2 linked regions of the Nothobranchius furzeri genome follow. The protein of the gene in region 1 purifies or fractionates together with the protein of each later gene. This does not show direct contact. Links are inferred from orthologs where the notes say so. Each region holds a gene or a part of one and is shown on either strand. Other genes may lie near its edges.

Region 1 (4,238 bases):
GCCTAGTCCACACGTAGCTGGGTTTTTTAAAAAACGAATATCCGCCCCTCCAAAAACTTGCATCCACACCACCTCGTTTAAAAAAAAAACTCCGTCCACAAGTACCCGGATAAATACGTTGTTATGGACATGCCAGACCTGTAGGCGGCAGTACTTCCCCCGTTCTTAACCTCATTCTTCGTCTGTGGTCTTCCGCAAGGAGCAGTAATTCCGCTTGCAAAAACAAACAAGCAGAAAGCGCTTGGACAATTGATAAAGCGAGCGCAGCTCTGAGGGCATCCGTGCTGTCGGCTAGTGTAAACACAGGTCGCACACGTGATGTCAGCATTTTTTTTTTTGTCGCGGAAAGTGACGTTGCGGACTTTAAAACTACGGTTTTGTCTGTCCACACGCAGACACCCAAAACGGAGAAAATGCAGATCTTCACTTTGGCCGGAGTTTTTAAAAGGATCCGTTTTCGTGTGAAAAAACTCCGTTTTCGTGTGGATGACAGGCCAAAACGTAGAAAAATATCTACGTTTTGGCAGATCCCCGGCTACGTGTGGACAGGGCCTGTGTATTTACACATATAGGATGGCTCGCCAGGCTACCCTAACAGAGCTCTAGTTTATAAATCTTATCCGTGAATAAAAAGTGAATCATCAAATATCACACAACTGCACTAATTACAGATTAAAACTCAACATTAATTTTGGGTGATGGTTTGATCCTTTCAAGTGACCAGGTTGCCATTTTGTGACATTTGTAAAACTGTCAGTAATGAAGGATAATTGCAGCATTCGTACTAGTGTTCTTACTCGATTGTTCTGAGATATTTTCTTTCCTCATTCTCTCTCCTGAATTCAGAACAAGCCTCAGGCAGATGAGGTACCGGGCCTCTGGGGTCGCTCGGTTCACCAATGCTATGTTCTCATCCTGTTCAAGTCCCAAACAAACACCTTCACGGTTCATTCAGAAGGAAAAAACACAACAAAATACAAATCCTCTGCCACTGAGAGAAGCTTCAAAGGCCTCACCCTGAGACTGGAGCTCAACACAGGCTCAGACAGAGCGGGCGGGTCAAAGAGGAAGGCAGCACAACTGGCAGGCATTTACCTTAATGACCCAAATTACACCCACCACCCTCGCTTTTTTAAACACACTGAACACACACCGGGCTGCTCATTAAGCCGCTCATCAGCGCCAAACAAAGACCGCCTCCACGCCTCTGAGCGGTTCAGTGCCTGCACGGTGGTCTTTGTCCCAGAACGTGCTCGAGCCGTGCACAAAAACACCCTCCTCCATATCTCACCTCAACAGATAAGGGATCGATTGGACTAGCTGGGGGGAGCAATGGGTGTCCGTACAAAGGGACCAGCCAAGCTGAAAGCTGTATCAATCGGTCACTAGATGTCTGCGTTGGGTGGGGGTTAGGATGAAGGTGTGGGGGTAGGGAAGGGGTATCAGGCCCCATCTGAAACCTACTGATCTAATAGAAAACACACACACACACACACACACACACACACACACACACACACAACCTCCTACTTCTGGTTGGAGGCAGCCGGCCAACACGGTGCAATAAAGCAAAAGTCTGGATCTAGACCGATCCTCTCCACCCACACCACCAACCCTCCTCTACTCCTTTGTTTTTCATCACCCCTCAAGCACAAAAAAAAAAAAAGCAAAAATATTCCACTTGGAGACGCCGCTCAGGGAGAATCTGTAACTTGAGTTCTTTGGTTTCGCATTTTTTTCCTTGAGAAAAATGTTTCAAGCTGGTTTTAATGTTCGAGAAAGTTATTCAGACATCGCTTTGGAATTCCAGGCCAGGGACCCGCAACAGCTGGCTGCCGACTTGTCCCCGCCCATCACACACACACACACACACACACACACACACACACACACACACACACACACACACACACACACACACACACACACACACACACTGCTTGATGTAAAGTGAGTTTGTTTACATGTTTAAAAGGTTGCATTGACTGATTTGATCACATGATCCAACAAAACAAAATATTTCCAGGTTAAAAGAAAGACATTGCACAACTTTCCTGGAAAATTTTAAAAAGAAACAAAACTGGACAGTTCTGGGAAGTGTGTTCACCAGATGTTGGTCCATCATAAATATCACGTTTCTGCTTTATTTAGAGATAAACCTTTGACATTATTCGTTTTATGCTGTAATCTGAGGAAACAGCTGTGTGATGGGACTAACCCAGTTATAATCGACTGAAATGGGCCAAATATTTTTCAAAAATCCTCACACACTGCAGCATTTAAACCTGAATGTGTGTGTTTGTGTTTCGTAGTCAAACATTCATGGGGGGACATGTCAGGACATGTCCACAGACAGGAAACAAGGTGATCGTGGGTGTTTTATTACCTGAGGTGTCCCACAGGCTGAGCTCAATCCTCTGGGTGTCGATTTCAAAACTGGCCGTGTAGTTTTCAAACACAGTGGGGACATAGCTCTGAGGGGGTGCAGAGAAATCACAGCACTAGGTAAGAACTGATAGAACCAGCGCGTGCATGCATGGTTAAATAACACGTGGTTTAGCATGACTAAAGCAGAAGATGAAGAGGTTCTGATCCGGGATCGGTGTCTCACCTCTGGGAAACAGTCCTTTGCAAACACGTGAAGCAGCGCGGTCTTCCCGCACTGGCTGTCCCCCACCACCACGATCTTACACTTCACACTGGGACTCGGATCCATGCTGGGCTTCTGACACGACCGTCGCTCCTTCATTGAGGGGATGTGACAAATCCTGGATGTGTATTAATCGCTCGTCCCTGTCCTTTAACCGGTCCCTCCGCTGTCTCCGCCTGCTCTGTGCCGGTAAATGCCATTTGCCTGCATTTATAGCGTCACGGGAGCCAATGGCAGCAGGGCCTCCCTCCCTCCCTCCCTCCCTCCCTGCCCGCCTCCACACACCGCAGCCCGCTGGGGTTTTCCACCGACGGCGCCCCCCTTCGGATCACAACTTTCTAATAAGGAAATAAATCAAAACGTAACACAGTGCCTGATCTGTTAACTCAAATGGCTGTAAAAGAGAGAGAGAAAAAAAAACAATAACAGAAATGGCTACATGACAGGGGCAAAGGCGCCCCCAAGGAGTGGCCAGGGGTGGCCACAACCCCCCCCCCCCCCCCAGGAAATTGCTGGCCCTTCCAGGAAAAGCCAGTGTTAATAAATCATATTAATGTTCAGTCAAACCATAAATTGATCTTGTTTATTCAAGACATAATTGTAAAAATAAAATTCATACAATTAATGAGTAAAGAAATAATCTGAATAAAAAATTACATATGTTTCTGCTGTTTACCATTTTTTAAAAGTTTTTATCAGGGTATCCGCGGGTCCTTAAAAAGTCTTAAAAAGTCTTAAATTAGCTTTTCCAAATTTAAGGTCTTAAAAATCCTTAAAAATGACTATTGATCCTTAAATACAGCCTTCAAAGCCCTTAAATTACCAAAGACCCAATAAACAAGATTCTTTTATTTCTATAAAAAATTTTCTGAATTTCTAGTAAGTGTTCAGCATTTTTTTGTGTATGATATTGGCATAAGCAGAGCCATACACATTCCATTGGTTGTGAAAGGGGGCTATTTTTAGATTAGCACATTAGCTGGTTAAGCTAGTGGGAATTTAATGGTAACTGGATGGCTAATGGCTAATCTTACGTTCGCGACGTGGTTAGCACCAGTTCCAGGCAATAGCTGGAAATTATAGCTTAAATTTAATTTAAAAAAAATTGCTTAAATTTGGTCTAAGTGGCCTTAAAAAGGTCTTAAAAAGCCTTACATTTTGCTCCCTTAAACCTGCAGATACCCTGTTTATCTCCATAGTTTTTTTGTGGACAGCAACAGGTGAATTAAACAAAAAAACATTTTAAAATAAAACTCTAAATAACATTTCAAGTAACTATGTATTTTTCTGAAATGTTTGTGTTTGTAAAATTTAAGTTAAATGTTTTGGATACATGCAGTTTTTTTTTTTCATAAAAATGAATAAAAAAGCAATGCAATACAATGCCACAAGCTAAACTCTCCCAGAGTTACCACAAGGACCAATTTGGTGTGCCACCCCAAAAATTAATTTGGCCCCATCTGGCCACCTCTATCAAAATTTTCTGGTGGAGGAAACAAGCATAGTACCTCTAGCTGTTTGAGGTGTACTGCACTGAAAAGGCAGTAATATCAGTCATTTCTAACTTTTTTCTACATCGTCCCTCTTT
Region 2 (3,654 bases), on another chromosome or scaffold:
CTCGCGCTCAGGCAGTCCTCGGAGCGGTTCAGGCCATTTCGCCGCAGCTCCGATAGGCTCTTGCTGTGAGGCAGAGAGGACGTGTCCCCGCTCTGGGACTCCTCAGAGTTGGAGCTGAGAGAGTGCGTGTGAGAGATGGGGCTGTCACCATGGAAACACTGAAGCAAGTTGTCCTCGGAGCGGGATAAAGCAAAGGAGGACAGCTTCTGCAGACAGTGGAGTATTGGTTGGACAGGAGGTCGCTGGTGAGGTTTAGACAGCTGGGACCTCCGTGACTCCTGTTCCTCCTCCAGCTCTCCCACCTCCTCTGTTCCTGTCTCACTCAGCTCCACCTCCTGGAATCCCTCCTCCTCCGTCTCCTCTCCTTCACTGTGGACGGGCTGAAGCTGCAGCTCTCGCAGGAGGGACTCGGGGGAGAGGGTACCGTAGGCGCTGTCCATGGAGAGAGACCGACGCTGAGGGTCCAACACCTCCGGACCGTGCTCAGGGGGGAGCGGGTCGCCCCGGCGGGTGGACTGTTGGACCTCAGAGCTCTCAGAGTGGAGAGCGGCGGCACACTCGGTGATTTCTTCCAGGTTTGCCTTGGAGGCTGAAGGCTGCTGCTGCTCGACCGGCTCATCAACATCCATCACAGACAGGGTCTCAGTGGAGCCGTCTGATTGGCTGAAAAGAAAAGATCTGTTTGATTACCAACTGCTTTCCTTCGCTGGTGCAAATGTTATTTTTTTCCCGTGAATTGTGAAAGTTGAGAGGAGGACCTGGAGTTCTGCTCATTCTTGCGCCGTAGGACAGGAGAACTTGCGGTAGAGTTGCTGCTCTCGTCTTCCTCCTCCTCCTCCTCCTCCTCCTCCGGACATCGTTTAAGAATGTCCTGCTGTCGAAGCATCTCCTGAGTGTGAAGCTTCTGCAGCTGATTCTGATGGGGGACAGTAATCTATTACAACACAAAACCAACAAACTACAGAATTACTTAAAAGGTTGTAAATTCAAAGCGTGCCACGAACCTGGACATTGCAAACTGCATCTATCCAGCTTCTACCCTGGGTGGCGCTGTTGGCTTGAAACGTGTAGGCTGCAACTGCACTCTTGAACTCATTGAGGTAGACGAGCACAAACGAGCCTTGAGAGACACATAAACGTGCAAACCGTCATCAGCAGAAGGAGACGTCTAACGGTGCGTCATCAGCCAAACGGAGGAGTTTTCTAAGTGCTCGCGTTGCAGACGGCCGCTCTTCATAACTACAAAGATCTCCTTTGAGTCGCATTTGAAGACAAAACAGAAAATTTGAATTCCAATCACCGAGACGTCTCACCGGGATCTTTGAGCTCCTTACAGACAACGTTGTGAATGAGCAGAGGCTGGCGGACGATTTTAACCTTCTCCACCCGCTTCACTGGTTTGGTGATCAGCAGCAGGTCAGTGAACAGGAAGCAGTAGACCTCCATCTGCGGGGCAGAGTCAGAGGCCAGGTGTGCCTTCAAACAGCAGAGTGGAGTACCGTGTTTGTGAGCAGCCGTGAGGCCCCGTGCTTACCCTGCTGTCTTTGCCCTCCTTCATCCTTAGCGCTCCCTCCAGATGCAGCTGTCGGGTCTCCTCCGGAGATGTGCCTCTCATGGGAGCCATCAGATCAAAGTGGTTGTACTCTTTGAGGATCTGAATAGGGAAGGACCCCAAGAGAGACAAAAGCTTAAAAATAGCTCTCTAGAGAAATGCCGTGTTTAAAAACCCACGTCTCACCTTCTCTACCTCCTCGCTGCTGCCCTCTACAGCCTCGTAGGAGTCGATGCGAGCGGAGATGGTGGCCAGCTTCTGCCGCTCCTGACGCTGACGCATCTGAGAATCCACGCTGTTGATGAAGTCTTCCACCGTGGCCACCTTAACGCAAGGATGAATCACAAGGTCAGAGCTGATCCACGTCCACAAAGACAAGTTCTGCTGTCATGATCAAATCTAACCAGGGAACCTTTGTAGAGTGAAACCGTAGCAGATGTCGGCCATAACACACGTAAACAAGACATCAACACACGTAAACAAGAGTAAACAAGAGTGAACGGAGTGCTGCTGACAGCGGCTCATTAGGGTCCCTAAAGTTACCACACAGCTGTGGATCCTCAGACAAACAGCTGCAGTAAGTTGTGAGGTGACCAGGTGTGCCCGGTTTAAGGTTCCTCTGGGACATGTGGGTTATCTCTGGGACATGTGGGCTATCTCTGGGACATGTGGGCTATCTCTGGGACATGTGGGTTATCTCTGGGACATGTGGGCTATCTCTGGGACATGTGGGCTGTCTCTGGGACATGTGGGCTGTCTCTGGGACATGTGGGTTGTCTCTGGGACATGTGGGTTGTCTCTGGGACATGTGGGTTATCTCTGGGACATGTGGGCTATCTCTGGGACATGTGGGTTATCTCTGGGACATGTGGGCTATCTCTGGGACATGTGGGCTGTCTCTGGGACATGTGGGTTGTCTCTGGGACATGTGGGCTATCTCTGGGACATGTGGGTTATCTCTGGGACATGTGGGCTATCTCTGGGACATGTGGGCTATCTCTGGGACATGTGGGCCATCTCTGGGACATGTGGGCTATCTCTGGGACATGTGGGCTATCTCTGGGACATGTGGGCTATCTCTGGGACATGTGGGCTATCTCTGGGACATGTGGGCTATCTCTGGGACATGTGGGCTATCTCTGGGACATGTGGGTTATCTCTGGGACATGTGGGCTATCTCTGGGACATGTGGGCTATCTCTGGGACATGTGGGTTATCTCTGGGACATGTGGGCTATCTCTGGGACATGTGGGTTGTCTCTGGGACATGTGGGCTATCTCTGGGACATGTGGGTTATCTCTGGGACATGTGGGCTATCTCTGGGACATGTGGGCTATCTCTGGGACATGTGGGCCATCTCTGGGACATGTGGGCTATCTCTGGGACATGTGGGCTATCTCTGGGACATGTGGGCTATCTCTGGGACATGTGGGCTATCTCTGGGACATGTGGGCTATCTCTGGGACATGTGGGCTATCTCTGGGACATGTGGGTTATCTCTGGGACATGTGGGTTATCTCTGGGACATGTGGGCTATCTCTGGGACATGTGGGCTATCTCTGGGACATGTGGGCTATCTCTGGGACATGTGGGCTATCTCTGGGACATGTGGGCTATCTCTGGGACATGTGGGCTATCTCTGGGACATGTGGGTTATCTCTGGGACATGTGGGTTGTCTCTGGGACATGTGGGTTGTATCTGGGACATGTGGGCTGTCTCTGGGACATGTGGGCTGTCTCTGGGACATGTGGGTTATCTCTGGGACATGTGGGTTATCTCTGGGACATGTGGGTTATCTCTGGGACATGTGGGTTATCTCTGGGACATGTGGGCTATCTCTGGGACATGTGGGTTATCTCTGGGACATGTGGGTTGTCTCTGGGACATGTGGGCTATCTCTGGGACATGTGGGTTGTCTCTGGGACATGTGGGTTATCTCTGGGACATGTGGGCTGTCTCTGGGACATGTGGGTTATCTCTGGGACATGTGGGTTATCTCTGGGACATGTGGGCTGTCTCTGGGACATGTGGGCTATCTCTGGGACATGTGGGCTATCTCTGGGACATGTGGGCTGTCTCTGGGACATGTGGGTTGTCTCTG

Evidence for each region. The genes of interacting proteins can lie anywhere in the genome.
Region 2: the proteins of rnd3a (region 1) and plekhg5b purify together in Homo sapiens (affinity purification with western blotting; 3 studies listed by BioGRID and IntAct, with this or other methods). This does not show direct contact. The link is inferred for Nothobranchius furzeri from reciprocal best matches to the Homo sapiens genes RND3 and PLEKHG5.

What each region holds. Positions count from the first base shown.
Region 1 is NC_091754.1:56,844,663-56,848,900, forward strand, and holds the start of rnd3a (rho family GTPase 3a), read right to left. Parts: upstream 2,862-4,238; 5' UTR 2,750-2,861; coding exon 2,612-2,749; intron 2,475-2,611; coding exon 2,387-2,474; intron 1-2,386. UniProt on the Homo sapiens protein: Binds GTP but lacks intrinsic GTPase activity and is resistant to Rho-specific GTPase-activating proteins.
Region 2 is NC_091755.1:39,711,169-39,714,822, reverse strand, and holds part of plekhg5b (pleckstrin homology domain-containing family G member 5), read right to left. Parts: intron 1,877-3,654; coding exon 1,739-1,876; intron 1,655-1,738; coding exon 1,535-1,654; intron 1,447-1,534; coding exon 1,314-1,446; intron 1,121-1,313; coding exon 1,005-1,120; intron 917-1,004; coding exon 759-916; intron 664-758; coding exon 1-663. UniProt on the Homo sapiens protein: Functions as a guanine exchange factor (GEF) for RAB26 and thus regulates autophagy of synaptic vesicles in axon terminal of motoneurons. Involved in the control of neuronal cell differentiation.